Coturnix japonica: one gene and its partners. The protein of the gene in region 1 purifies or fractionates together with the protein of each later gene. This does not show direct contact. Links are inferred from orthologs where the notes say so. Each region holds a gene or a part of one and is shown in the gene's direction. Other genes may lie near its edges. The genes, in order: RBBP4, ASH1L, SINHCAF, ING2, JARID2, PWWP2A and SAP30.

Region 1 (4,006 bases):
GGACAGGAGAGCTGCTTCCAGCTGGGGCTCTCAGCAGCAGCCGATGGGGAGCAGCTGCACACAGGCTGTGCATGAAAACAAGATTAGAAGCACAGAGTTCAGTGCTGTGCTGCTCACACTGCCGGCACACAGCAGTGACACCCAGCACCGCACCGACAGCGAGCACTGACAGTGTGCAATGCACCAACAGTGTGCACTGAGAGCATGCACCAACAGTGTGCACTGACAGTGTGCAATGCACCAACAGTGTGCACCGAGAGCATGCACCAACAGTGTGCCCTTCAGCCTCTGCAGGGAGGAACCCTGATCCTTCCGTGTGAATCACCCTCCAGCAATAAAATACTGCATCTACGAGGACATAATTCTACCAGCTCTACAGTAAGTTACACGGGTAACTTTGGCTTTGGAGCTTCACTGCACAGGGTACACAGCCTGCTGTGTGTCATGGCACATGATGGGGCACAGCACATTGTTATGGGGCACAGCACCTTATGGGGCACAGCACGTTATGGGGCACAGCACGTTGTGATGGGGCACAGCATGTCGTTATGGGGCACAGCACATTATTATGGGGCACAGCACATTATTATGGGGCACAGCACATCGTTATGGAGCACTTCAATCCCACCCAGTGGATCCCACCAGTCGGTTCCACACCGACTCTCCCTCGCAAACACATCAGACCGGCTGCAGCGCCCCATTAACTTCAGGGTAATTATTTCCCGACATCCCACGTGAGTCCACCGTGGCTTTTCCCATAGGAGCAGCTCTCACTGCCGGCCATGGGACGATCCCACACGGGATCTCCGGGTTCTGTTCGCAGATCAGCACCGAGACCTGCGAGCTGGGAAACGCTCCTGGGAGGGAATAAGGCCGAAAGAGCACAGGGCTGAGTGTGAACGGAGCCACAAACCGGGAACGGGGCGGGTCACAGAGACCCATTAAGCGACCGGTAACCGGTAGGACAGAGCTCAGGGGCAGCTCGGGGCCGGCTCACGGTGCCATCCTGCAGACCCCCCCCCCCCCCGCGCAGACCGCACTCACCGGGGCACTGTCCCTTTAAGAGCCGCCCACCCGCTCCGTCCGGAAATGGCTCCGCGGAAATGGCCGCCCTCACACGTGACCGCCGAGCGCGCTCTCCTGCCCCTCGTTCCCGCCCCTTGCCTCTCTCCGATTGGCGGAAGCCTCCCGGCGGCGGGCGGGGATTGGTCAGTGTTGGCGCGCGAAGGGGTGCGCGGCGCGGGAGCGGCAGGGAGCGGGGGCAGGAAACAATAGAGCCGCGTCCGGAGCGGAGCCAGCAGCGCCCGCCTCGCGCAGCGCAGCCTCATCCCGCCGCCCACAATGGCGGACAAGGAAGGTAAGGCCCGGCGGCGCGGCCTGGGCGCTGCGGCCTTCACTCGGCTCCGAGAGGCCTCAGGCCTCACTGCCCGCCCCCCCCGCCTCCATCGGCCGGCGCCGTGCGCAGTGATGGCGGGGGGGCTCCGGCAGGGGGCGCTGGGCCGTGCCCTGGGGCGGGGGGCGTCCCGTGCGGCCTGCGGGGCGCTGGGGGAAACAGCAGGGACCGGCCTGTTACAACGGGTTACAACGGGTCGCTACGTTGACACTGCGAGGGGCTGCGGGCGGGGGGGGCGGCGTGTCCCGCAGCAACGTTGGGTGATAAACAGCTGCGTGTGGTGGGGCCCGTTATTGAGTGAGGGCCCCGTTATTGAGTGCTCCATTATTGAGTGCCCCGTTATTGAGTGCCCACCCATCTCTGTGTGTGTTGTGCCTGTCCTGATAAACGCTAACATCCCGCATTGCTTTCATGAACCCTTCAGCAGCCTTTGATGACGCAGTGGAAGAACGTGTGATCAACGAGGAGTATAAGATATGGAAGAAGAACACACCCTTCTTATATGACTTGGTAATGACCCACGCTCTGGAGTGGCCCAGCCTGACTGCGCAGTGGCTCCCCGATGTGACGAGGTGAGGGTGCGTTCTGGATGTACTCCTTGCAGAAGTAAGGCTCCGTGTGACTCCTTGTCTCGTCTGCAAACCCCAGAGACACCTTTAATGTGGGGAAAGTGCTGCTTATCACCAAGAAAATGCTTCACGTCTTTGATTTTGATGCTTTTCTTCTTCCAGCTTCGTTCTCCTTTTTGAAATGCAAAGCCCTCCTCCCCACAGAGAACTAAATATAGTTTCACTTTAAGCACTCTTTCATCCTAATCTTCCACAACATTCTGCTTCCAAAGAGTGTATATGCATCTCCAACTGTGCGCTGGGGAGGCTGTTAGAGTCTCTTAAAGGAAGGCAGGGGAACTGCTGGAGGTATCTGGGGGTAGGTGCTGTTATGCTCCAAGAATTGTGATTTGAGATCTTGAGTTGGGAGGAGAGATTCTTCTGGAGGAAGAAATACAGTGTCAGAGCAGGAGAGCAATGGTAGTTTCTAAGGATGTTACAGGTGTCGGAAGCTGTTAGCAGTACATACCATATTCAGCTCAATGTTTGTGTAAACTCCATGTGTTTCTCACCTGAGTTTCTTCTCTCACAGGCCTGAGGGCAAGGATTTCAGCATTCACCGGTTGGTCCTGGGGACTCACACTTCAGATGAACAAAATCATCTCGTGATAGCGAGTGTGCAGCTGCCTAATGATGATGCACAGTTTGATGCCTCACACTACGATAGTGAGAAAGGAGGTAAGGGAGCAAAGATGTCAATCAGGTGGGGCTTAAACTCTGTTTTTCCTCCACTTCTTAATGGTTGAATCCATTTTTCTGCATGCTAAAAGTTCTTAACAATCTAATATTAGCTTTTCTTCTTGCCAGAAGCCTGGATTATGCAATCTGTATTGTGATCTTTGGGCTTCTTAGAGTTATTTGTAAGCAAGACAATGCTTACTTATGTTCTTTATTTTTTCTCCCACAGAGTTTGGAGGCTTTGGGTCTGTTAGCGGAAAAATTGAAATTGAAATCAAGATAAACCATGAGGGAGAAGTGAACAGAGCTCGTTACATGCCACAGAACCCATGCATCATTGCTACAAAGACTCCATCCAGCGATGTCCTCGTCTTCGATTACACCAAACATCCTTCTAAACCAGGTGGTTGGAGCTTTGTCACCTTCATGCTTCAGAGCTACAAAAATAACCACAACAGCCTTTTCTTAAGGTTGATGGGGTGCAAAAGAGGCTGAAAAGTTTTGTGGGTTGCATAGCGTGTAACTTTAATCCTTGATGTGCTGATAGTGATTCTAAGCATCGGAGTTCTTACACTGCCTTTTTACAGACCCTTCTGGAGAGTGTAACCCTGATCTGCGTCTTCGTGGACACCAGAAAGAAGGCTACGGGCTGTCGTGGAACCCAAACCTGAGTGGGCATTTGCTTAGTGCTTCTGATGATCACGTGAGTGCTTTTAAGTGTAGCTGGGGTGCGATCTGCACTTTGTGTCCCTTGACAAAGGTCAGGAATGTTTCTGTGTTTGAGGGGATGGAGGTGGGGGAGTGCAGAGAATTCCTGTCTAAAGATACAATTTTTATTCGTTTTGGTTTTCCCTTTTTTTTTTTAAAGACCATTTGCTTGTGGGATATAAGTGCTGTTCCAAAAGAAGGTAAAGTGGTGGATGCAAAGACCATCTTCACAGGGCATACAGCTGTAGTGGAAGATGTCTCCTGGCACCTGCTGCACGAATCTCTTTTTGGATCTGTTGCTGATGATCAGAAGCTCATGATGTAAGCGGGGTGCTTTCTTTAGAGGCTGAACATCTCAGTCCATTTTGCCTTCCCAGCTGCTCCCTGGTCTGCCCGTAAGGTGGGGTGTAAGCCTTCATTCCAGGTCTGTTCCTTCTGCTTACAGATGGGATACGCGGTCAAACAACACCTCCAAACCCAGCCATTCCGTGGATGCTCACACAGCTGAAGTCAACTGCCTTTCTTTCAATCCCTACAGTGAGTTTATCCTGGCTACAGGATCAGCTGATAAGGTAAATGTTTGTATTGAATTTGGAGTAGGAGTTGGTGTGTCATGTTG
Region 2 (3,500 bases), on another chromosome or scaffold:
TAGAAAGGTCAGAGCTTTTTAAAAACATTTCATACAGTGCACTATCCAACAGTAATTTGGAGCAGGCCAAATTCTTAAAAAACATAGGGTCGTCTTCATTCGTGGAGCACGAATTTGTTAAGCATCAGCTGCCAAAACTGAACGAGGGTAGTGGACAGTCTCTTGCACTGCTAACCGAGTCTGACAAGCAGACTCCAAAGTTCTACAGTGCACACAAACAACCTTCAAGTTTGTGTATGTCGGATGATTTCTTACCTGACATGTATAAACCTAAAAGAGGAAGACCTAAATCCAAGGAGATGCCCGAGCTTGAAGGTCCCCCCAAAAGAACTCTAAAGATCCCAGCGTCAAAAGTCTTTTCGGTGCAGTCAAAAGAAGAGCAAGAACCTCCCATTTTGCAGCCAGAGGTGGAAATTCCTTCCCTAAAGCAGAGTTTATCGGGACAAGCTTTTCCTAAAAAGAGGGGGAGGCCTAAAAGGCAGATGAGGTCATCGATCAAAATGAAGCCACCAATTCTTTCTGTAGCACCTTTTGTTGGAACAGAAAGCTCAAACAAGATAGAATCTGAAAGTGATCAGCATCGGAGCGGGGAGTTTTTTGAGAGAAAGGACCAGCTCCGAGGACCAGAAGATGTCCAAAAACCTAATATTTGTAGCATGAGTGATTTGGAAGGAGACTCAGACAGAAAAGTTGCCAAGAGAAACAACGGGCAGTTAATGAAAACTATTATTCGGAAAATAAATAAAATGAAAACTTTGAAGAGAAAGAAACTTTTGAATCAGATTCTCTCGAGTACGGTGGAACCAAATAAAGGGAAAGTGCAATCTAAGCTCCACAACACGGTGTCGACACTCGCCGCCACTTTCGGTTCAAAATTAGGCCAGCAAATTAACGTCAGCAAGAAAGGAACGATTTACATAGGAAAAAGGAGGGGAAGGAAACCCAAAGCTGTCCTGAACGGTATTTTAACTAGTAATTCTGCCAGTCTGACAGTTCTTGAGAAATCTTCCCAGCAAACTCCCGGCACATCATTTGGCCAAGTACTTCCCCACTTGCTGCCTTCAGCAGCTAATAGTTCCGAGATTCTCCCATCCCCTGTTTGCTCCCAGTCCTCTGCAGTCAGTGGGGGGCAGAGCCCCGTCAGCAGCGACGCGGGATTCATCGAGCCCAGCTCGGTGCCGTACTTGCACATCCACTCCAGGCAAGGAAGCGTTGTTCAGACACTCGCAATGAAGAAAGCTGCTAAGGGAAGGAGGAGATTATCTCCACCCACGTTGTTGCCAAACTCTCCTTCTCACTTGAGTGAGCTGACATCGCTGAAAGAAGCCACTCCTTCCCCCGTGAGCGAATCTCACAGCGATGAGACCATACCCAGCGACAGCGGGATAGGAACAGATAACAACAGCACTTCAGATCGAGCCGAGAAGTTTTGTGGGCAGAAAAAGAAGAGGCATTCGTTTGATCACGTTTCCCTTATCGCACCCGAAGCTTCCACGGTTTTAAGTAATCTCAAAGAAAAGCATAAACACAAATGCAAGCGCCGGAGTCACGATTACCTCAGTTATGACAAAATGAAGAGGCAGAAGCGGAAAAGGAAAAAGAAGTATCCTCAGCTTCGAGGTAGGCAGGACCCGGATTTCCTGGCTGAATTGGAAGAGTTAATCAGTCGATTAAGCGAGATTAGAATAACCCACAGAAGTCACCATTTTATCCCCCGAGATCTCCTGCCTACCATTTTCCGGATAAATTTCAATAGTTTCTATACTCACCCTACTTTTCCTTTAGATCCGTTGCACTACATTAGGAAACCTGATTTAAAGAAGAAGAGAGGCAGGCCTCCGAAAATGAGGGAGGCTATGGCAGAAATGCCTTTCATGCATAGCCTCAGCTTTCCTCTCTCCAGCACCGGGTTCTATCCCTCCTATGGCATGCCTTACTCTCCTTCCCCCCTCGCAGCTGCTCCCATAGGCTTAGGTTATTACGGAAGGTACCCTCCGACTCTTTATCCCCCACCACCTTCTCCTTCTTTCACCACCCCGCTGCCACCACCCTCCTACATGCATACAGGCCATTTGCTTCTCAATCCCACCAAATACCACAAGAAAAAGCATAAACTTTTACGGCAGGAGGCTTTCCTCACGACGAGTAGGACTCCGCTCTTGTCCATGAGCACGTACCCCAGCGTTCCACCCGAGATGGCTTATGGCTGGATGCTGGAACACAAGCACAGGCATCGCCACAAACACAGAGAGCATCGTACATCCGAGCAGCAGCAGGTTTCCATGGACACCATCACGGCTAATAGCTCTTCAAGAACAGTCCTGGAGTCCTTGAAGCGCTACAGATTTGGGAAAGAGGCTGTCGGTGAGAGGTACAAACATAAGGAGAAACACAGATGTCACATGTCTTGTCCCCACCTGTCGCCTTCAAAGGGATTGCTAAGCAGAGATGAACAGTGGGTCCGGAGGGAGCCTTCGGAGTCTAATTCCTTAGCACTGGGGTTGCAGACGCCGTTACAGATAGACTGCTCAGACAGCTCCCCAGGTCTGTCCCTGGGGGGATTTACTCCCAGCTCCGAGCCGGCCAGCAGCGATGAACACACAAATCTTTTCACAAGTGCAATAGGCAGCTGCAGAGTCACAAACTCTACCAGCACCAATGGACGTAAAAAACTAACTGACAGCCCCGGACTCTTCAGTGCACAGGACAGCTCGCTAAATCGACCGCTCCGAAAGGAACCATTGCCTTCTATTGAAAAGGCACTGCAGCCACTGTCAGGTAAGGGAGCTCTCATTGTATCACCACATGAGTCTTATGGTAAGCTCTAAAGCAGCTTGCATTGGGAAGGCAGGCAGCGATAGATTTGGCTTTGTGGAAGTTTTTTCTGTGTTGGATTTTAGGACTACCATTGTTTTGATGGAGGATTTCTGTTGTGTCAGTGCACTGTTCTGCTCAGCTTCTGGCACAGATTAATGGGAAGTCTCCTATGTACAGGGCTGCCTAAGTACCTTTTCCCACCAGATTTGCATTGCTTAGTTGTAGAAGCATACAAAGTTTTCTAGGGATGTTTTCTCATTCAAAAGTCTTTTCTTTTTCCTTACGATTTCTGATCATTTTAGAAACCATCTTTCTGCTTGTTTTGAAGTTTGATGGATTGATTTTAGGCTAGCTATGGGTACTAGTACTGTGAGCAACTTTTCCATTAAAGAAGATGTTCCGTATTTCTTTCATGACTCGATTTTAGGTGTTCTGATAATTTTTCCTGTAGTTTGGCTTTGATCCTTGAGGCCTTTTGCAGTACCTCCAAACAGCTGCAAAATGATCCTGGGAATGCCCAAGACCAAACATTGTAATGACTGTTTTATTCGTAGCTAGGAAGCTCATCTTACATATATCCCTAGATGCAACTGAGACTGAGCACAGGAAATGGCAGTGGCACCAGCAGAGGATTTGCTGTTCAAGGACCTCCATTCTGCTGTGCTAAGAAATGCTGAGCGTTT
Region 3 (3,500 bases), on another chromosome or scaffold:
GGTAGGTGGTATGGGGGGAAAGCCCCAGCCTCCTTGGGGCTGTCCCATTGCGGGGCTGGTTCCTCTGCTGCTGTGTGTGACGTTGCTGGGTTATCAGCCTGTTGTGGCTGCTCGTGTGAGCTGCAGTAGATGACAGCATTGAAGGCTCTGGCCAATTCCTTCCCACCATGGTGTAGTGACTTAGTCATGAACCTTAGAGTTGTAAATCCCTGCACGAGGTGAAAGGCAGCACGGATCTGTGGAGGCTTTTGGTTATTCTGGAGCTTCGAGGACATTAGATAAAGCTTGTACCTTGTTTTGGCTATCGGTGCTGTTGTTCTGGTAAGGCTTATTGATACGTTATTAAAAGTTCACATTGGAGACTGTTCTGATGAAGAGCAAGAATTAATTCATCAGCTTTCTAATTAATCAAAGCTGTGCCTCATGTTGTTTGGAAGTATCAGTGACAAAAGCTAAATAGCAGTGCTTTCTTGTACCAGCTGCTGTGGCCTTCTAACTTTTTGGAACGTGGAGAGTTTTGTCTAAATATGCCTCAGTGCGCTGTCAGAGGCGAATTCTTCTGATTACCTCACTAAAATAAACAGCTTCTGCTCTTGTAGCTTTCCTCGAAATTATTTTCCCAGGAAAAATACATTGTTGTTATCTTCAGCTTTTGTCCTTCCAGCCTCACTGGACTCTCATCAAAATCTTAGGCCAAAGTTGAGCTTGCATCCACTGTTAAGAGCTGATAAAACACACACGGTGTTTGTCTCAAGCATTTAACTTCGTGTGTGAAAATCTTTGTAGTCTTTGTGAGTCTTTACCTCGTCTCTTTCCTTTTTCTTCCCTGCCCCCCTTTCTAGAAACACACGTTTCATGTATGGTTTTATAGTGCTTTGTATTGACCGTGGATTTTTGTTCATAAATCTGATGCTGACAGTTTTTGCCCTCGTAATTCTTGGCTGCTGTCCTTGGCAGTGGAAAGTCCGTGAAGGCCCATTGCTTTTTATATAAACAGCAGTAAAGAAGCTTGCAGAATACTGGGGCTTTTGGTCTCGCGCTATCTGAAATATGTTTGCCAAGGTGAAAAATGCAGTCTTAACTCTAAACAAATAAGGGCTTATCTGAGCCTGCCCCATTCATCTATACATGCTTCAAAGTCCTCCCATTTAAACAGCTGGAAAACCTGACTGTGCGTCCCCCTTTGGTGTGAATTCCTCTAGTGTGGATTAGCTGTAGAAATGGTTTCTGAAGGAAGCAAGTTTTGCTGCTTCAGAATCCAGTGCTGTGGATTCTGAAACTGTCCTGCAAGTGTGCAGCGATGTGTTGGATGGTGTTTGTTACTCATCCTTGAAGCACTGTGAGAAAGCTGAGAGCTGAAAACGCTTTTGTCAGATCTGAGTTTTGTTCCCTGCTTATGCCCAAGGAATAGGACTATTCACTCTTCCTCTCTGGTCAGATCAATCCAGTCACTGAAGCTGTGGTTTAAAAGAAAACAAGGCAGACAATGTATAAACAACAGAAGGTAACGAGGCTAGGGTTCTTTAGCCTCCTTTTGGTGGCAAATTACAGTGCCTTCTATTTCTACATGAAATAATGTTTTTCTGAAAGTGAGGCCTGGTCTTCGAATAGCACTGATGGAGCCCCCCAGATTAATCACCATGCCTGCAAATCATAACTTGAGAACCCTTCCCCTTGTGCTTCTGACACTGTTATTGCATGATTGTTTTGATTAATTGCTATAAAGTGATCTTTGCTTTTCACTTTTCCCAGGCTCCACGAGGCCCGCTCAGGAGACATTTGTAATGCCTGCGTCCTTTTGGTGAAAAGATGGAAAAAATTGCCAGCGGGATCCAAAAAAAACTGGAATCACGTTAGTTGATTTATCTTATTTCTTCCCTGCCCCCAAACTGACTCGTCTCCTACTTCAGTCCATCCTACATCAGAGGGGAGACACTGGAGAGAGTTTAGGGGTTGCTATTTTCCATGTGCTTTCCCTCCCTAACCCCGGTGTTTCTAAAGCTTGCCTGGAATATTTCTTGTCTTTGTTGGACTTATGTGTGAACTGTGATTTTGCAAGCCATGGATGGAGTCACAGACTAACCTACCTTGTAATTCCTTGTTTTCTCAATTCATAACTTTGTCCAGAAGTCTCTTATGACACTCAAAGCATTACAGATCTGGCCTCTGTCCAAGACTGGTCACTTTTATTTTTCTTAATAGCTTGAACAAGCAAGGTGACTTAGTCTGTGCAGCACACAAATCAATGTGGTTTCATCAGGTAATTAAAGACTAATATCGTGCAGCTACTGCTGTTCATATGTTCTGTTTTGATCTAATTAATTTGGGCCTAGGGCTGGTAAGAAGATCAGGCTGCCAAGGGAGGTGGTGCATTCAACTGTACCTGGAATTGTTCAGTAACCATATGGATGTGGTCAGTGGGCATGGTGGGGATGGGCTGGTGTTAGACTGGGTGATCTTAGAGGTCTTTTTCAACCATAATGATTCTTTGAGTACCTTCAGCTAAATCGGTGCAGACATCTTGACAAAGGCGTATCTGGGCATAATTCAGGATCACTGTGTGTGTATTTTTCTGTGTTGTAGGTGGTAGATGCCAGGGCTGGACCCAGTCTGAAAACAACACTGAAACCAAAGAAAATGAAAACTCTCTCTGGAAGCAGAATAAAGAGCAATCAAATCAGCAAGCTGCAAAAAGAATTCAAGCGACACAGTAAGTAGATTCAAACAGATTTTGATTATAAACTTTGGCTTCCCCTAAAATAACTTAGTGCTGAGTGGCCACACTGAGTCACCTCCTGGGTTCAGTTGTGCTCTCACACAGTTAGGTTTTCTCTGTTCATGTCAACTCTTATTGTGTCTGGGGAGGGGGTGGAATGAAAGGGGGACTTTGTGTGCAGTATGAATGTCTGCAGGGGGTTGGTTGTGTCAGGTGGAGAAGTGGCAAGGAGAGGTTAGAAGCAGGGTTGGAAGGAGTAGGCAATTGCAGCTTGTATCTCACACTTAAATGACACATCTCTTGGAAAAACTTCTTGGGCAAAGCCCTCACTGAAGTTGAAAGAGATGTCCCACTGTTCTCATTAACGTGCTATGATAGTTTTCAGCCCTCTCTTCTCAAGAAAGGCTGCTCTGCTGATACCACTATCAGTCTTTTTCTTCAATCTATGTTTTCAGTCTAGGCTTTCTATTTAGTCTACGTTCTGCCCTCCCCCCCAGTGTACACACACACTCTGTAAGTTCCTGCCACGTTCCTCTGTACAGTCTCCTTATACCTTCTGCCAGTCTCAGTGATTTCTTTCCACTAGCACTTGAGACTCTCAAGTAGATATGGATTCAAATCTTTCCCACAAAGCCATCTGTCAGTAACGCTCTAAATATATAACAGCAATCTAGGTTTTTTTCACTAAAGCAAACTTTTTAGCTTCCTAACTGTTGCTGTCTTGATGTTCTGTTTTCCATCACTCTACCTGACTTGAAGGAACTGCTCTCAGAAGAACCAGTGG
Region 4 (4,023 bases), on another chromosome or scaffold:
CGCAGCACCAACAGAACGGGGCTCACTCTCAGGCCATCCCGTTTTGTGGCTCAACTTTATCCGCGTCGGCTGCTCCGCCAAGAGTGAAAGGCTGCATCCAAAGCTGTGTGAGGCCAGCGTCAATGCAGGTACATGGTGTGCGCGGAGATGCTGCCCTTATTTTGACAAGTCTAACCCAAATCCTTACCGAGTCTATAACAAATGGCACATCCGTAGCTGGTAACTGTAGGCGCCTAATTACCCCATTTCAGCATACGGAATGGAATTCAATTTGCCGACATCTGTGACAATAGACCTGCGCTCCCTTGTAGTCAGTGGAGACATTTTTAGGGCAAGAATTGCAGTGAGTTACTCCCACCTTTATTTCCCTGCGTGGGAAGGAAAACATCCTCACACGTGACAGTGTTACGAATTCCTTAAGCCAGGCTTCCATCAGGTGACTGGTGTCATTTCAAACGCGTGAACTCAATTATCTCATGGCTTTATTCACTATCCTTCAAGATGTTTTTCATAGCACAGCAGTAATTAACTGTGGCACTAGGTGTTACATCAGCATAGAGTAACTCGGCGTGTTGAGAAATTCTTGAATGCGTCCTGGTAATTAACTCTTAACAGTCTTAATTAATAGCCTGCAGTCTGGATCTACCTGATAGGTGCAGCTGTGTCACGGGGCTATCAGGCTGCAGCACACAGTCTGTAATTAACGCTGTATCTTGCTTTACTCCTACGCTGCATGGCAGGAATCTGTTTCTCAGCTCTGTTTCCTCACAGAACCGCGACCATTCAGACTCATCGCTGCCCTTCACGTTCCGACCCTCCGCTAGCTCTGCCCACCCCCCTGTTTCCGTTCCTTTCCACGCTGCTGACTCGGGCCATTACTCCACACCTCGGCATAGCGCCGTGCCGGGACAGCCGGGCAGCACGAGCCGAGAGCCAAGGCTGAGAGCAGCCGGCTGACGAACGGATCCGCGCCTCCAACGCCCCCACAACCGCCGCCCGCCCACACGCGGCGCTGCCGGGGCACCTGGGGCGATCCTCCGCCTCACGGCCGTCCGTGCGCCCGCCGCCACGGCAGGTGCCCCCGGCAGGGAGCGGCCCCGCCACGCTCCCCGCGGAGTCGGCGCCCGGCCGTCAGCGGGGGGAGGAGCAGGGTGCGTGTGCCTTTAAGGGAGGCTCCGCCCCTGCGCTATATCCCGCCCCCCCGCCCTTCGGGCCAATAGGAGCGCGCGAGAGGGGAAGGCGGGAGAATGCGAACCCCTGGCGGCGCCTCTAGCCGCGCCTTATAAGGGCAGGGCCTCGCGCATGCGCGTAGCCAGGCGACCAGGGGCGGGGGCTCCAAGTGGGTTTCGCTGTGGCGGCGGCCGTTCCGCCGGGCGCTGAGCGGGACCCGAGGCGGGCGGCTCGGTCCGGGTGGGTCGGTCCGGCCCGGCGGTGCGCCGGTCCCGCGGCATTGAGCGGTCCGGCCGCTCGCGGGTAGAGGGGCGGCAGGCGGCAGGAGGCGGCAGAGCGGAGCGGGCCGGGCGGGGGCTGCCCCGTGAGCCGGTGCCGGCGGTGGATGTGCGGCTGGAGCGGCTGCAGCGGGGGGATGATGCTGGCGGGGCCGCAGCTGGTGGCGGGGCCGGCGGCGCCGGGCGGGGAGCGGGCCCGGCTGCTGTCGCTGTACGTGCAGGAATACCTGGAGTGCGTGGAGTCGCTGCCGCTGGACATCCAGCGCAACGTGTCGCTGCTGCGGGAGGTGGACACCCGCTGCCAAGGTGGGTCCGGGGCTCGGCCTCCTCCGCGGGGCAGCGGGAGGGAGGGACCGACCGGAGGGGAGGGGAGGGCGGCGCGGGGTGGGGGGGAGGCGGCCGCCCGCCGCACATGCGCTGGGCGCGGGGCTCCGGGCTGCGGCGTTAGGCCCCGGCCTCCCCGCTCAGCTTGAAATCCGGCGGGGGGTGGAAGGGGAAGCGCCGAGCAGGCAGGGCTGTCGCCTGTGAGCACGAGGTGTGCCCGGGGCTGCGGGGCCGTTACGAGCCCTGTGCTCCGCCCCGCCATGGGGGCCGTGCCCGCCGGGGGCACACGGGGCGGTCAGGATGGAGTGCTGGTGCCTGCAGGATTTGCACAGCTGCTCCGTGCTGACAGCGTTGGAACTCTCTTTTCTCAGCTCCACCAAACTCAAGCAGATGAACTGTAATGGACGCTTGGTCCTGGTCTGTTTTTCTTAGCCTCCTTTTTAAGCAGAGGTTTTAAAGCTGTCTAGCTGGACACGGGTACCTCCTCTAATTAATAAGGGGTTAATAAGGAAGTACTTCAGTGAACCTGTCGCTCTGTCACTACACATTTTCTAGTCTTTCTAGTTGTTCAGACTACAGAGTGCCTTACTCGGCACTTCTCAGAGCAAATATTTTATCCTGTCAAGGCAACAGATGCAGCTGAAAGCTGTAGGAAAGCGAAACCTGTGTTTTCAGTGACAGCTGGAGTACTGGCACTGTGAGTTATTAGATGGGCAGAGCACTGACTTCATCTTCCTCTGGTGAAGGTCTGCAGTAGAACAAAGTGCTGCTGGTTACTGTTTCCATACAGATTTCAGTATTTATAGTAAAAAGTGACCGTTCCCTCTTAAGGTGCTGTTTCAGGATGTCAGCAGGAAAAGAAATCACTGTGAGCAACGCTGAGATAATAACCGTGGCTTCCATTTAGCGCGAGCTTGAATCATTCTAAAACTGCACAAAGCGTTTAATTTAAAAATGAAAGGCAGCCTATAAACAGAGCTGTGCAGGATGAGAGATTGTTCCGTGTCCATTCTGGTTGTGGAATCAGTTGAGTATCGTTCATAAATTCGCTTACCCGTTACAGACCTGTAAGTTAGTTGTGAAGGGATCGGTGCTGTATCGAGCACCCCGTCACATCTCGCTGTCAGCTCCACTGATTTAGTTCCTTCTGCTTCAGCAGTTCCTCTGTCTTTCTTGTGTAGATGTAGTGTCGCTTTCCGTCTGGAAAATAGTATTTTAAAATCCATCAAAAGGGAAAATGTGGAGGACAAGTTCTGCCTCAATGTAACACACAACTGGATGTAACTTCTTGGTACAACCAGCACCACTTGGAGTGGTTTAAGTTGTCTTAGATCCTGATTGTACATCTGTTAATATGTAGCTTCCACTGTGGTACTTTGTTGTAACTAAGGGCTGTTGAAAAGGTAGTGCTAAACCCTCGTGTATAGAAAGGAGGAGGCAGAGGACCTGCATATCCTAATTTTGGATTGTAATGTGATGGTTACACGATTATAGTGAATTCTGAGATTCTTCCTATGGTATGAGAAGCTTTGGTTTGTAGGCCAGGGCTTTGTAACTACTCTAATATGGAACCTCAGCAAAAAAATCCTGCTTTGTCAGATGCTGAGTCAGAATTTGGACCATTCTGGCTTTGGCAGCAGCGTTCACCTTTCTGGGCTTACCCTTCCCTTTATCCAGTGCTCAAAAGCATCTTGCTTTTTCTTAGAACTTGAGAAGCTTTTTATGCAGTGGATTACCACCTTAAACACTGACTTGATGCTCAGGTGTAACTTGAATTAAATACCTGATGTAGCCCACTGGGGTATACTGTAATTAAAACTTGTACTGTTTCACGTCCGTTTGAACGTGCTCAACAAAATACAGATATGTACCTTCTATCTCGTGTAATTATTCGTACTGTGTTTGTTTTGTAGAAGCTTTAAAAGAAATAGACGATGTCTATGAAAAATACAAGTCTGAGAACGATCCCGTTCAGAAGAAACGCCTGCAGCAGCATCTCCAGCGTGCTTTAATCAACAGTCAAGAACTGGGAGATGAAAAAATTCAGATAGTTACTCAGATGCTGGAACTGGTAGAGAACAGAGCCCGACAGATGGAAACTCACTCTCAGTGTTTTCAAGACCTGTCTGAGAACGACAAGCCTCTAGAAAAGGCAAAGATGGAGTCCTGCCAGCCGGAGAGATCTTCACGTAGACCCCGTCGGCAGCGGACCAGTGAAAGCCGCGACCTGTGCCACATAGCAAACGGGATC
Region 5 (3,500 bases), on another chromosome or scaffold:
GGTCATGTATCCGGCTGCTGTAGTTTTCAAACACAGAATGCTGTGTTGGATGAAGCAGTGCACGTGGCTTTCTGTGAACGCTCAGCTGGTCTTTGAAAGGGTTGGTTTGACCGTACTGTTTTGAGAGGTGAAATGTCATTTTAAGGTGATGAAACTTCTCTAAGGTTTGAGAAATCTAATAAGAAAATGTCACATGCTTCCCGAAGATATTTTCTTCATTTGTGATTAGAAGTTTAAGCATGTAAGGAAAAGAGTTAGGCCAGGGGAGATGGGGACACCTAGTTTTATTTTCACTTTTAATTTTATTTTCTATTTCCACAGGGTAGGTCCGTTTCTTTAACAACCTTCTACCGAACAGCAAGAAACATCATGAACATGTGCTTCACAAAGGAGCCTACAGTAGCTGAAGTAGAGGTGAGACCAGCACAAGGGGTAGTAAATGTTTTGTGTTGTGGAGGTGGAGCATAGAGGTTCATCTTTATTGATGTTTAGAAACTACCATTAGTGGTTTAATGTGGGGGATGTCTGATGTGGGGAAAAAAAATAATTCATTATGTGTAGGTGTGATAGTGATTCTTCCCTTCGGTTTTTTAAACGTTTTTCATAAAGGTATTGAACTGCGAGAAAGACTTTTTAGTGTACTTTGCAATGAAGCACAGGAGCAAGTGGGGCTAATTCCTGTCTTCACAATCCACCAGTGCTTTTTAGTATTTGCAATCATGGAATCATTAAGGTTGGAAAAGAACTCCAAGATCATCTAGTCCAGCTGTCAATCCATCCTCACCATGCCCACTAAACCACATCCCTCAGTGCCACATCTACACATTTCTTGAACATCTCCAGGGATGGTGATTCCTCCACTTCTCTGGGCAGCTCGTTCCAATGCTTGTCTCCTTCTGAGACAAATTTTTTCCTAATATCCAACATGAACCTGTCCTGGCACAACTTGAGGCCATTACCTCTTGTCCTTATTTCTAAACGGTGTTTTATGTTGAGTTACACTGAGGTGATTTCTGGGACTTAAATTTTAATGGGAAGTACCTTGTTCAAAACCCATCACCACTTTCTCTCCCAACAGCAAGAATATTGGCGGTTAGTGGAACAGAAAGATAGCCATGTAGCAGTGCATTGTGGAAAAGTAGATACCAACACCCATGGGAGCGGCTTTCCTGTGGGGAAATCTGAACCATTTTCTAGGTAAGGTCACCGAATCTGTGCCGCCTGCCCCATTTGCGTAACCAGGTGTGGGAACTTGCTGCCAGTGGGGCAGCACAGCGCTGGCTTGACAGCAGGGGCATGGTGCTGACATATGTTTCCCTCTGGGTCCCTTTTAACAGGCATGGGTGGAACCTCACAGTCCTTCCTAATAATACAGGATCCATCCTGCGACATCTTGGTGCTGTGCCTGGTAAGTAGGATTCTTTTTCTGTGTTTGTCATGTGTGCCCTCTAAATGTGGTAGTGTAGTCATCAAAGCCTTCTCTCGCTCTGTCTAGTCCTTTTGTTGAGTAGCTGCCTAGGTAGAGATGCAGTTGTAAGTAGCAGCTCATACCTGTGGGATGGAAATCAGGTTTTAGATATAGACTTAATGAATGGTTAAGACCATGCACCTGGGAGGAGCTGGTTGTGCTTGCAGCATCACTGTCTGTTGTTGTCAGTACATCAGTGTTCTTGTTTTGTGTCAGGGTGATGAAAGACATACAGCTTTCTTGGTGCAAACCTGGACAAATGTTGGGTAAAGCTGCACACAGGTTTTTTTTTTGTAAATGAATTGTTGCAAGTGTCACAAGCTCCAGCCGCATCTGTGTCATTAGAAACATTAGCTGAAAGCAAAATCCAGTCACCTGGATTTTGTGCCTGGACCGTGCCAGTTAGGAAAGAGGATTTATGTTAACGTGTATATATGCACTGACACTGAGAGGCAGTCTTCTGTGATCAATAGCATTGAGCTTGGGTTATGAATATTTGTAAATAAACCAAAGGATAAAATTTTTTGCAGCTCTTAGAAAATAAATATGTTCATCTGCTAGATATTTCAGTAGTGGGAAATGCTGGTGTCATTAAATAAATTATTCTTTGTGAATTATTCACTCTGATAGGCAGACTGCAAAAAGCTCACAGGTAGAAGAATTGCAACTGAAATGCCCTCAAACTGTCTTTTAATTAGAAATTGCGATTACTCAAAACTCATTTTCAATCTCTGTTTCAGGAGTGACAATTCCTTGGCTAAATATTGGCATGGTCTTTTCTACCTCATGCTGGTCTCGAGACCAAAATCACCTTCCATACATTGACTACTTACACACTGGTGCTGATTGCATTTGGTAGGTATTACCGTGTTTGTTTTCATGCTCACTGCAGTGGCTCTCTGTAGGCTGGTGTTAACAGCAGTTTTTCTAGTACCTTTTGTGTGAATGAATTAACATTCAACTAAACTTCTACCTAGAAGTTTAGTCTTCACAATGGCAGGTCTAATGAAAAACATAGTATAAACTAAGCATTAAAAACCTTCTTTCTGGGAAGAAAAGTTTTGGTTTATCTTCTGTGATCTGTTCTGAGATACTTAGCAATGAACTGTTTCTGCTTGAGATAGGGTAGGAAGTTTTCATGAGATGGAAACCAGCACAACAGCTGGTCAGGGCAGGCTTCCCTTAGGCTGACAGAGAGATACTTGTCCAAGCTTGCTCCGTATTATCATTGGGAAAGTGACTGAATTCATACTCTGACTAAATAGCCACCATTTTCTTATTTTACATATCAACTCTGTATCTACCAGATTCCTAATATTTTCTATTGTGATTTTTTTCTTTCTTTATCATATGATAATCATTTTTAATTATGATTCCACACATCGTTCTAGTGCCTAGATGCTGGCCATTAGTACTCAGGTGTTAGCTACGTTTCATATGTTGGAGACACTTAAAACAAATGGACTTAGCACTGAGCTTACAAATGGTTATGAACATGGTGATCCTTTCCGAATTCAATGCGTATGTGCTGCTACAGATGATGATGAATTAAATTACAATGGAAGTACAACAGCTGATGGAGGAATTAGTGGAAGCAGGTGCTGCCGGCATGTCACGTGCCTTTCTGTGACATTCCGATGATAATGGTGTTATTACCCAAGAGGATCATCAGTGAGAACAGTGAACGATAAGCAGTATAACTGTTTCTTGACCTCAGAAAATCAATTAAATGGAGAACAAAAGTTACTGAAATGCTGACTCCCACCGAAGGTGAGAAGCTGATTGCCTTTCAACAGTTTCAGCAGTTCTCGAGAACCCCGAACAATGGGAGCCTTCGGCTCATTGAGCAATGTGACAGGAGAAGGTCTGGAAGGCCTGAAGTGTATGTGCTGCCCTGCTGCCACACTGCTTGCAGAGTCAGCAAAGGCCTTTGCATCCAGGAGTCCCCATGGAGTGGCAATGTCAGCCATTCTTTGTTCATGCGCTAAGTGTGTACTTGTTCACCTTTAATGCCTGTGCTTCTCAGCTGGTG
Region 6 (3,500 bases), on another chromosome or scaffold:
AACATATTGCAGGAGGTATCGGTTACCTGTTGAACAACATGCTACTTCTCTTAGCGTAGGGAAGTTAAACTAACGTATAAGGCTTGGTGGAGTTTCATGTGTGTCAAACAGGGCATCAGAGATCTTAGAACACCTAGTGCTGCCTGCAGAAAAGTAGGCAATGTTTTAAAACAGTTTGTTTGCAGAACAGAGGGGAATCATTTGTACTGTATTGAAATTGTAAGGATGGCTTTGCCAGAAGGAACCCAAACTCAAAGTTCTAGGCTGTAATGCATCAGATGGCCAAGCAGCAATCTTCTGTGGATGTCAAAGTGAAGAATGACAGTGCTGTTAGATGCCAGTATTTACACGTTGTATATTTGGCTGAAATCTAACATAAGTTCAGGCTTTTCTGCTATGCCATAAACTGAAGAATTCTGTAAAAGTTACCCAAAATGCTTTCCTTGCTCATATAAATGGAATTGGTGTGGAAATCTATCTTGTGTACATTTGGAATTGATGGGGGTAACTCGCTGAGTTTGAACTTTGTGTTTATAAGAGTTTTCTAGAAGCATCAATGCTGTCCTAGGCAGTATTTTTGTGTATATTTTTGAGGGTTGTTGTTGACACAATAGAAACACCCATAACTGAAGTTAGTGTATTTTGTGTTGTATGCTGACTTGGTTTTGGTATTTTACTTTTTCAAAGCTTAGCCTAAGACTTGGCTTAATGTTTAAGTTTTGTCCAGAACTCGTGTTATTTGAATGGTAGTTATGTGGATGACTTTTAAAATGCTTCTTTAATAAATACAGCAAGAGATCCCTCAAAACATTTAATGTTTTTTTTGTTGTTGTTGTTCTCTTGAAGGTTTGGACCCCATGGAATCCCTGTGACCATATTTCCTAAAAGGGAATATAAGGATAAACCTGAAGCCATGCAGCTCCAAAGTAAACCATTCCAAGATGAGGCACAGGTGAAGTGTGAATCTAATGCTGCAGTCCCTGATGACTCTTCTCTCACGCAGCCATCAGAACCAAGCTTAGCTAAAAGCCTATGGACTTCTAAACCACCTCCTCTCTTCCATGAGGGAGCGCCATATCCTCCTCCTTTGTTTATCAGGGACACATATAACCAGTCAATACCTCAGCCTCCGCCCCGGAAAATTAAGCGGCCCAAGCGTAAAATGTACAGGGAGGAGCCCACTTCTATTATGAATGCTATCAAACTACGACCCCGCCAGGTCTTATGTGACAAGTGCAAAAACAGTGTTGTTGCAGAAAAAAAGGAAATAAAAAAAGGTGGCAATGCAAGTGACTCTTCAAAATATGAGGATAATAAAAAACGAAGAAACGAGAGCGTGACTACTGTGAATAAAAAACTTAAGACTGACCATAAGGTGGATGGAAAAAGCCAAAACGAAAGCCAGAAAAGGAATGCTGTGGTCAAGGTTTCAAATATTGCCCATGGCAGAAGCAGAGTAGTTAAAGTTACTGCACAAGCAAATACTTCAAAAGCGCAGTTAAATACAAAAAAAGTTCTCCAGAGCAAAAACATGGATCATGCAAAAGCTCGGGAAGTCTTGAAAATGGCCAAAGAAAAGGCACAAAAGAAGCAGAGTGCAACCTCCTCTTCCAAAAATGCACATTCAAAGGTCCATTTCACACGGCGTCTTCAGAACACCAGCTCAGGTTCCCTCCCGCCCCGATTGCGTTTAAAGCCACAAAGATATCGGAATGAAGAAAATGACTCTTCTCTCAAGACAGGACTTGAGAAAATACGGAGTGGCAAGATGGCAACTAAGCCGCAGTCTCGCTGCTCCTCCACCCGCTCAGCAGGTGAGGCCCCTTCAGAAAATCAGAGCCCCTCAAAAGGCCCTGAAGAGGCCAGCAGTGAGGTTCAGGACACAAGTGAAGTGCATGTAACTGTTGATCAGGATGAACACCAGACATTGGGCAAGAGAGGCAGCAAAAGCAATATAACGGTTTACATGACCCTTAATCAAAAGAAATCTGACTCTTCCAGTGCATCAGTTTGTAGTAGTGATAGCACAGATGATTTGAAATCTACCAACTCTGAGTGTAGCTCTACTGAAAGCTTTGATTTTCCTCCAGGCAGCATGCATGCACCTTCCTCCTCCTCCTCCTCTTCGAAGGAAGAGAAAAAGCTCAGTAATTCCTTGAAAATGAAAGTCTTTTCCAAAAAAGTCTCTAAATGTGTTACACCAGATGGCAGGACCATATGTGTAGGGGACATTGTTTGGGCCAAAATTTATGGCTTCCCTTGGTGGCCAGCCCGTATCCTGACCATAACTGTGAGCCGAAAAGATAACGGTCTTTTAGTTCGCCAGGAGGCTTGTATATCATGGTTTGGGTCCCCAACAACGTCTATTCTCGCTCTTTCACAACTATCCCCCTTTTTAGAGAACTTCCAGTCGCGCTTTAATAAGAAGAGAAAGGGTCTTTACCGCAAGGCCGTCACAGAGGCAGCTAAGGCTGCAAAACAGCTGACTCCCGAAGTTCGGGCCTTGCTGACACAGTTTGAAACGTGAACATGGAGAGTAAGGTAGGCGAGAAATCTGGAGGCTCCACGAAATTCATAGCCTAGTTAGAGGACTACCATGAAGGACTTGCCGAGGCAGAAGTTGCAGTCGGTTGGATGCTCTTTTTATACTAAAGTTGTTCCATTTGTAGCGGTTTCATGGAAGTTAAACAAATTGAACATGCAATCAAAATTAGCCTAAAGTGAGAACTTCAGTATTTTTCCAAGTGAGAATTTTTTTTAAAGAAAAAAAACAACTCCTCAAACACCCAACGCATAGGAGCCATAGCCTCAGCTGAAAGGCAGCTTATTTGCAGGGAATTTTTTAGTAGTTTCTACCCAGTATGTACCTAGTTGCTGTGTGGCAAAGGGTTGACACAAGGGGTGAAAGTAGTAGCTGTGATATTTTATTTTTTTCTTTTCTTAGGTGGCCCATCAGGGAAGTGTAGAAACGTAAGCCTTGTCTAAATGGTCTTTAAACATGATTTCAAATACTCTCTGATGTATTTAGTCTGGCCTGTGCCAATTGGCTCAATGCACGCGTGAACGTCTTAGAGGCGTGCCCCATTCCACGAAGGCCAGTTTAAATGGCATTAGGAGACGTGCTGAAGTTTTTAAGGAAGAAAAATTCACAAAATTAAAGACCAGATTAAATGGGGTTTTATCTTAGTGACCACTTCTTAAACACTCAGCCTTTCTATGCACATAGGGGCACAAATATTAACACTTCAGGGTCTGAGAAGCTGAGAGTGATGCCTGTAGCTCTAAGACAAAGCTGAGCAGTTGCTCAGTGTTTGGGATCAAGGGCTGTTAATGCTGCATAGGTGTGAATCATAACTTCTGGTCTTTCTTCCTGAAGAAGTCTTTCAGGCCATTTGCCTGGAGTTTTAGATTAAGAGAGGCTTTGTTTTGAATGTGTAAATAATTGATTGATGAGATTTGGTCAGATTTTCTCCTGACTGGTTGTTCCTAAATTCTTAGGA
Region 7 (4,016 bases), on another chromosome or scaffold:
TCTGAGACATAGTAGTCTCTACATTTTAACAGACCACAGCAAACATAACAGACTGTGTATTTTATGCTCAGCATAAGGTCAAAACCATCTGATGAAATGAAACGGATCACAAAAGACACAGTGTAAGCTGGTAGAAATTGCTACTTGTGACCCTGATTTCTGCTGGAAACTTCCTGGAACTCACACTTCTTCCTATATCTTCTTTAGGTAAGGTCTCCTACTGTTGTGTGGCTTTGTTTGTTATTATTAACATCATTATAATCTTTGAAAGGGTCGAATCACAAGGAACTTGAGCAGCGAGTTAAACGTCCCTTTTCTGAGCTGACACAGTGGCAGGGTGTGGAACTGAACCCAGCTGGGCTGTAACAAAGGAGGGTTCGGTATTTTTTCCAGCTCTTAACCCAATTTCTCCCTTTAATCACAAAACGTGCCCTCATGCATAACTGCTGTCTGTCACTGTACGCTCAGCCTAACTCCACTCGCTGGATCCTTCAGTCGCAACTGCTGGGAGCGTAAGCGGGACCTACCCTCGTTCTCTAATGCCAGGTTACGCAACCGGATTAAAAAGCCATCTGCAGCACAAACCCAAACTGCAGCATAATCGCACTCCCTGGCTCAGGCAGTTGTTGGGCTTACACGGGATCTGCGTCTCCTCAAATCGCTCGCTGACCTCCCGGTTACTCTCCTGATTCCACACTCGCACAGTAATGGATACGGCCGCATATTTCCGCGGTTACCTCACGGCGCTCGGGCCCGTTAGCGAATTTAAGGGCTCAAAAAGGAGCGCAAAGCCGCCTTTTTGCGCTCTGAACGCACTCGGACGAAAATAGGTCAGAGGCGGCCCCACAGCGGCTGAGCTATTACAGGCTGTGCGTTAACGCGGCTCTCGTGTAGCTTTCTTAGAGCTCGAAATATCTCAATACAGGCAGCGTTTGATCCGGACACAACGCGGAGCCTCAGAATCCACTTCCCGCCCCCGGTAGCGGCACGGCCGCATTTCAAATCCCAACGGCCGCGCCGACGGGGAGGAGCGAAGGCGGCGTCCTACCAGCCGGCCCGGGCCGACACCGCCACATGCCGGCGGGGGGCGGGCGGAGCCGCGGCACCGAGCTGCAACAAGCTGCGGTGTGTGCGGAGCGGAGCGCCCCGTCCGCCGCGCAGCTCGGGAGCCGTAGTTTCCCGGCCTCGCCGCCCGCAGCGCAGAGCGGCGGGACGAACTGCGTTTCCCGGAGCGCAACGCGGCTCGGCCTTGAGCAGGCGCAGTGCTGAGGGGCGGGGCGGCGGGCAGGTTGCTGTTGTTGCATAGGAAACAGCTGAAGAGTCTCCACATGACAGAGGGGGAAGGAGGAAGCGGGGCGGCCCGTGGGGCGCCGCCAGCGCGCCGGTAGCCGCGGGGCTCGGAGCGAGGGCGCCCGTCGCGCCGCGCGTGTTCCCTCGCGGTCCGGGCTGAGCGCGGCCGTAGAACCCTCCGGGCCCGAGTCCCCTCGCCGGGGGGAAGCGGTGGCGGCGCTCGCGGGGCTTCCCGCCGGCCCGACGCGGGGCATGAACGGTTTCGCCCCCGAGGAGCTGCCCCAACGCGGGGCCGACCCCGCCGTCGCCGCCGCGGGCGCGGTGAGCGGTGCGGGCTCCGGAGCGGAGGTGCCGGCGGGGTCGGCGCCCCCGGGGCTGGCCGTGGGAGCCGCGGGCGCGGCCGGGGCGGGCGGCCCCGGGGCCGGGCAGCTGTGCTGCCTGCGGGAGGAGGGAGAGCGCTGCGGCCGCGCCGCCGGCAACGCCAGCTTCAGCAAGAGGATCCAGAAGAGCATCTCGCAGAAGAAGGTGAAGATCGAGCTGGACAAGAGCGTAAGTCTTACGGCAGCGGGCAGCGGCTCGGGGGCGGCTTTTAAAGTTCTTTTTTGGCGTGTTTTCTTTTGTTTGCGGGTTGTTTTTTTTTTTTGTCTTTGCCGGCGGCGGGGAAGCGCCGTTTCCCAGTCCCTCCTTTCCCGCAGCGCTGCCGCCGCCCCGTCCCGCCTGGAGCCCGGCGCTGTCGGTGCCCCACCCGGCGGCCGTGGGCGCGGGGCTCCGTGTGGGGAGGGCTCGGCGCGGCCGCACGGTGCGGCCCTGTGCAGGAGAGCTGGGGAATGAGGGGAGCGGCCCGCGTGTCGCTTGACCTTGCGGAGGTAAAGCCGTGCGGATGGGGAGGAGGTGGCATTTTGCCTCCCGCGGGATGTTCCGGAGGCTGCCCGCCTTCCGTTCGTGCGTGTTTGTTTGCCGATCCCCGAGTTGCTGCGAGCGGTTGGAGGGAGGGTTGTGTGCGCGCTTGTCCCCGCTGCGCGACGTTCTCTGCCAGTCAACCGGTAGCCGCTTCCCCCCGTCCTCCCGCCGAGTCGGTGGAGGTAACATAACAATGCCTCCGTGCAGCGCTATCAGGCAGAGGGGCTTCCCCACCTCGCTCCGCGTGAGCGAGGCTGCCTAAGGAATGTCTCTGTAGATGCCTCTGTGCTGCCAGGCTGGGAGGAGCTTGCACGGGTTTGATTGAAAGATGCGGTCTTACTCTTGTAGGCGAGACACCTTTATATCTGCGACTTCCACAAAAACTTAATTCAGAGTGTGAGAAATAGAAGGAAGAGAAAAGGCAGTGATGACGATGGTGACTCACCAGTGCAAGACATCGACACTCCAGAGGTAGCCAACGGTTTTTCTAATAGTTACGTTAAGTCTGTTCCTGCTTCAGCCGTGCCTGCTTTTGGGGATGGCTCCTGATGTGCTTGGCTTTTAATATGACAAAAGCAAACTGGATTCCAGGGTGTATTTTCTCTATTAGATGTGCAGAATCTCAGGCAGCTGCTGTTTTGAACTTTCCTTACAGTTTTGGCTCCAGGAGCCTGCTAGAAGTTGTTTTGCTATGAAAATCAGTCTTTGTAAAGGTTGACAGGACACACCGGACTTGGGCTATAACTGCTTCTCTGTCACATCCCTCCAATCCTTTCCTTCCATGTGAAGCACGTTGCAGATGGTGCCTGTAGTTACCACTTAGTGTAGCTGGAAGTTTCTCAGTGAGGGAGCTCACTGGTTTTAGTCCTTCTTGGGGATAGAGATGCTGAGGCAGTTTTGCTGAGGAGGAGCTGAAATAAGAAGGCATTTCTGCTTGCCTTCCTTATTGTAGGCCAGTGAAACACCACCCGTTTTGGAAGTGAACTACTTTCAAACTTTTTTCATAGTATAATGTGAATGCACTTAAAGCTTTCTTCTTCCTACATGTGTGCTGGATTATTTCTGTTACAGTTTGTGTGTTAATCGTTGAGCACAGCCTACCCGGCCTCAACCAAGAGATTTATCCAGTGTTTGTCAGAAGGTGCTTGAGGATTGTGAACTTATCCTTAAGGTCAGCGTCAGCAATGTCAGTGATGAAACTTCATGCAGGAATCTCTGCCTGGAGGCACACGGCTCAAGCCTGAAGGCTTTGACTATAAGAGGATTTTAGGAGATTGGAAGTAGTTTGATGCTGGGCTGTGGTTTTTGTCAGCTAAAAACATTGGATGGCATCTCTGAAAGCTCTCTAAACCTGCTGTTCTTTGTGGCTTTTGGTAGCTGTCTGGCACAGTGGCAACTGCAGCTTTTGCCTGTTTATTTGCTCAGACAGGAATAATAAAGCATGACACAACTGATGGATATCCCTAGAACAGAAGAAAGGAAATGTATTTTCAGTGGTAGTGGTGCAGGGAAGTAGGTAGTTCTGGAGAGTTTCAGCATGCAGTTCCTGTGTGGTGTTGGTGTGCTATAGATGCCCACTGGCCCCTTGATTTTTGAACTGCCATCCAGTTTACTGCTGACCACCTGTAGGGCATTCCCATTTCCAGAAGTAGATGTTAGGAGTGATTTGCAGTGACTTCCACAGTGCTGCTGTCTTGAGTACGAGGGCATGCCATCCTCTTAACACGTAAGGCAGGGTTGTATCAAGTCTGACCGGGTCACCAGGAGTGCACTGGCACTGTTGTTGCCTTAAATATTGCATAGCTGAGGCTGCTGGATGACTTTAA

The links.
Region 2: the proteins of RBBP4 (region 1) and ASH1L purify together in Homo sapiens (affinity purification with mass spectrometry; 3 studies listed by BioGRID and IntAct, with this or other methods). This does not show direct contact. The link is inferred for Coturnix japonica from reciprocal best matches to the Homo sapiens genes RBBP4 and ASH1L.
Region 3: the proteins of RBBP4 (region 1) and SINHCAF purify together in Homo sapiens (affinity purification with mass spectrometry; 3 studies listed by BioGRID and IntAct, counting the BioPlex papers as one, with this or other methods). This does not show direct contact. The link is inferred for Coturnix japonica from reciprocal best matches to the Homo sapiens genes RBBP4 and SINHCAF.
Region 4: the proteins of RBBP4 (region 1) and ING2 purify together in Homo sapiens (affinity purification with mass spectrometry; 3 studies listed by BioGRID and IntAct, with this or other methods). This does not show direct contact. The link is inferred for Coturnix japonica from reciprocal best matches to the Homo sapiens genes RBBP4 and ING2.
Region 5: the proteins of RBBP4 (region 1) and JARID2 purify together in Homo sapiens (affinity purification with mass spectrometry; 3 studies listed by BioGRID and IntAct, with this or other methods). This does not show direct contact. The link is inferred for Coturnix japonica from reciprocal best matches to the Homo sapiens genes RBBP4 and JARID2.
Region 6: the proteins of RBBP4 (region 1) and PWWP2A purify together in Homo sapiens (affinity purification with mass spectrometry; 4 studies listed by BioGRID and IntAct, with this or other methods). This does not show direct contact. The link is inferred for Coturnix japonica from reciprocal best matches to the Homo sapiens genes RBBP4 and PWWP2A.
Region 7: the proteins of RBBP4 (region 1) and SAP30 purify together in Homo sapiens (affinity purification with mass spectrometry; 11 studies listed by BioGRID and IntAct, with this or other methods). This does not show direct contact. The link is inferred for Coturnix japonica from reciprocal best matches to the Homo sapiens genes RBBP4 and SAP30.

The regions. Positions count from the first base shown.
Region 1 is NC_029538.1:4,587,389-4,591,394, forward strand, and holds the start of RBBP4 (histone-binding protein RBBP4), read left to right. Parts: upstream 1-1,206; 5' UTR 1,207-1,341; coding exon 1,342-1,357; intron 1,358-1,817; coding exon 1,818-1,965; intron 1,966-2,533; coding exon 2,534-2,679; intron 2,680-2,908; coding exon 2,909-3,082; intron 3,083-3,266; coding exon 3,267-3,382; intron 3,383-3,547; coding exon 3,548-3,708; intron 3,709-3,832; coding exon 3,833-3,959; intron 3,960-4,006. UniProt on the Homo sapiens protein: Core histone-binding subunit that may target chromatin assembly factors, chromatin remodeling factors and histone deacetylases to their histone substrates in a manner that is regulated by nucleosomal DNA.
Region 2 is NC_029540.1:1,741,180-1,744,679, reverse strand, and holds part of ASH1L (histone-lysine N-methyltransferase ASH1L), read left to right. Parts: coding exon 1-2,778; intron 2,779-3,500. UniProt on the Homo sapiens protein: Histone methyltransferase specifically trimethylating 'Lys-36' of histone H3 forming H3K36me3. Also monomethylates 'Lys-9' of histone H3 (H3K9me1) in vitro. The physiological significance of the H3K9me1 activity is unclear.
Region 3 is NC_029516.1:52,973,298-52,976,797, reverse strand, and holds part of SINHCAF (SIN3-HDAC complex-associated factor), read left to right. Parts: intron 1-1,752; coding exon 1,753-1,852; intron 1,853-2,583; coding exon 2,584-2,710; intron 2,711-3,500. UniProt on the Homo sapiens protein: Subunit of the Sin3 deacetylase complex (Sin3/HDAC), this subunit is important for the repression of genes encoding components of the TGF-beta signaling pathway.
Region 4 is NC_029519.1:35,244,523-35,248,545, reverse strand, and holds the start of ING2 (inhibitor of growth protein 2), read left to right. Parts: upstream 1-1,223; 5' UTR 1,224-1,555; coding exon 1,556-1,754; intron 1,755-3,685; coding exon 3,686-4,023. UniProt on the Homo sapiens protein: Seems to be involved in p53/TP53 activation and p53/TP53-dependent apoptotic pathways, probably by enhancing acetylation of p53/TP53. Component of a mSin3A-like corepressor complex, which is probably involved in deacetylation of nucleosomal histones.
Region 5 is NC_029517.1:67,726,291-67,729,790, reverse strand, and holds part of JARID2 (protein Jumonji), read left to right. Parts: intron 1-321; coding exon 322-414; intron 415-1,078; coding exon 1,079-1,197; intron 1,198-1,337; coding exon 1,338-1,408; intron 1,409-2,208; coding exon 2,209-2,323; intron 2,324-3,500.
Region 6 is NC_029528.1:9,981,750-9,985,249, forward strand, and holds part of PWWP2A (PWWP domain-containing protein 2A), read left to right. Parts: intron 1-846; coding exon 847-2,527; 3' UTR 2,528-2,541; exon of another isoform or gene 2,542-3,500. UniProt on the Homo sapiens protein: Chromatin-binding protein that acts as an adapter between distinct nucleosome components (H3K36me3 or H2A.Z) and chromatin-modifying complexes, contributing to the regulation of the levels of histone acetylation at actively transcribed genes.
Region 7 is NC_029519.1:38,529,552-38,533,567, forward strand, and holds the start of SAP30 (histone deacetylase complex subunit SAP30), read left to right. Parts: upstream 1-1,216; 5' UTR 1,217-1,542; coding exon 1,543-1,839; intron 1,840-2,538; coding exon 2,539-2,661; intron 2,662-4,016. UniProt on the Homo sapiens protein: Involved in the functional recruitment of the Sin3-histone deacetylase complex (HDAC) to a specific subset of N-CoR corepressor complexes. Capable of transcription repression by N-CoR.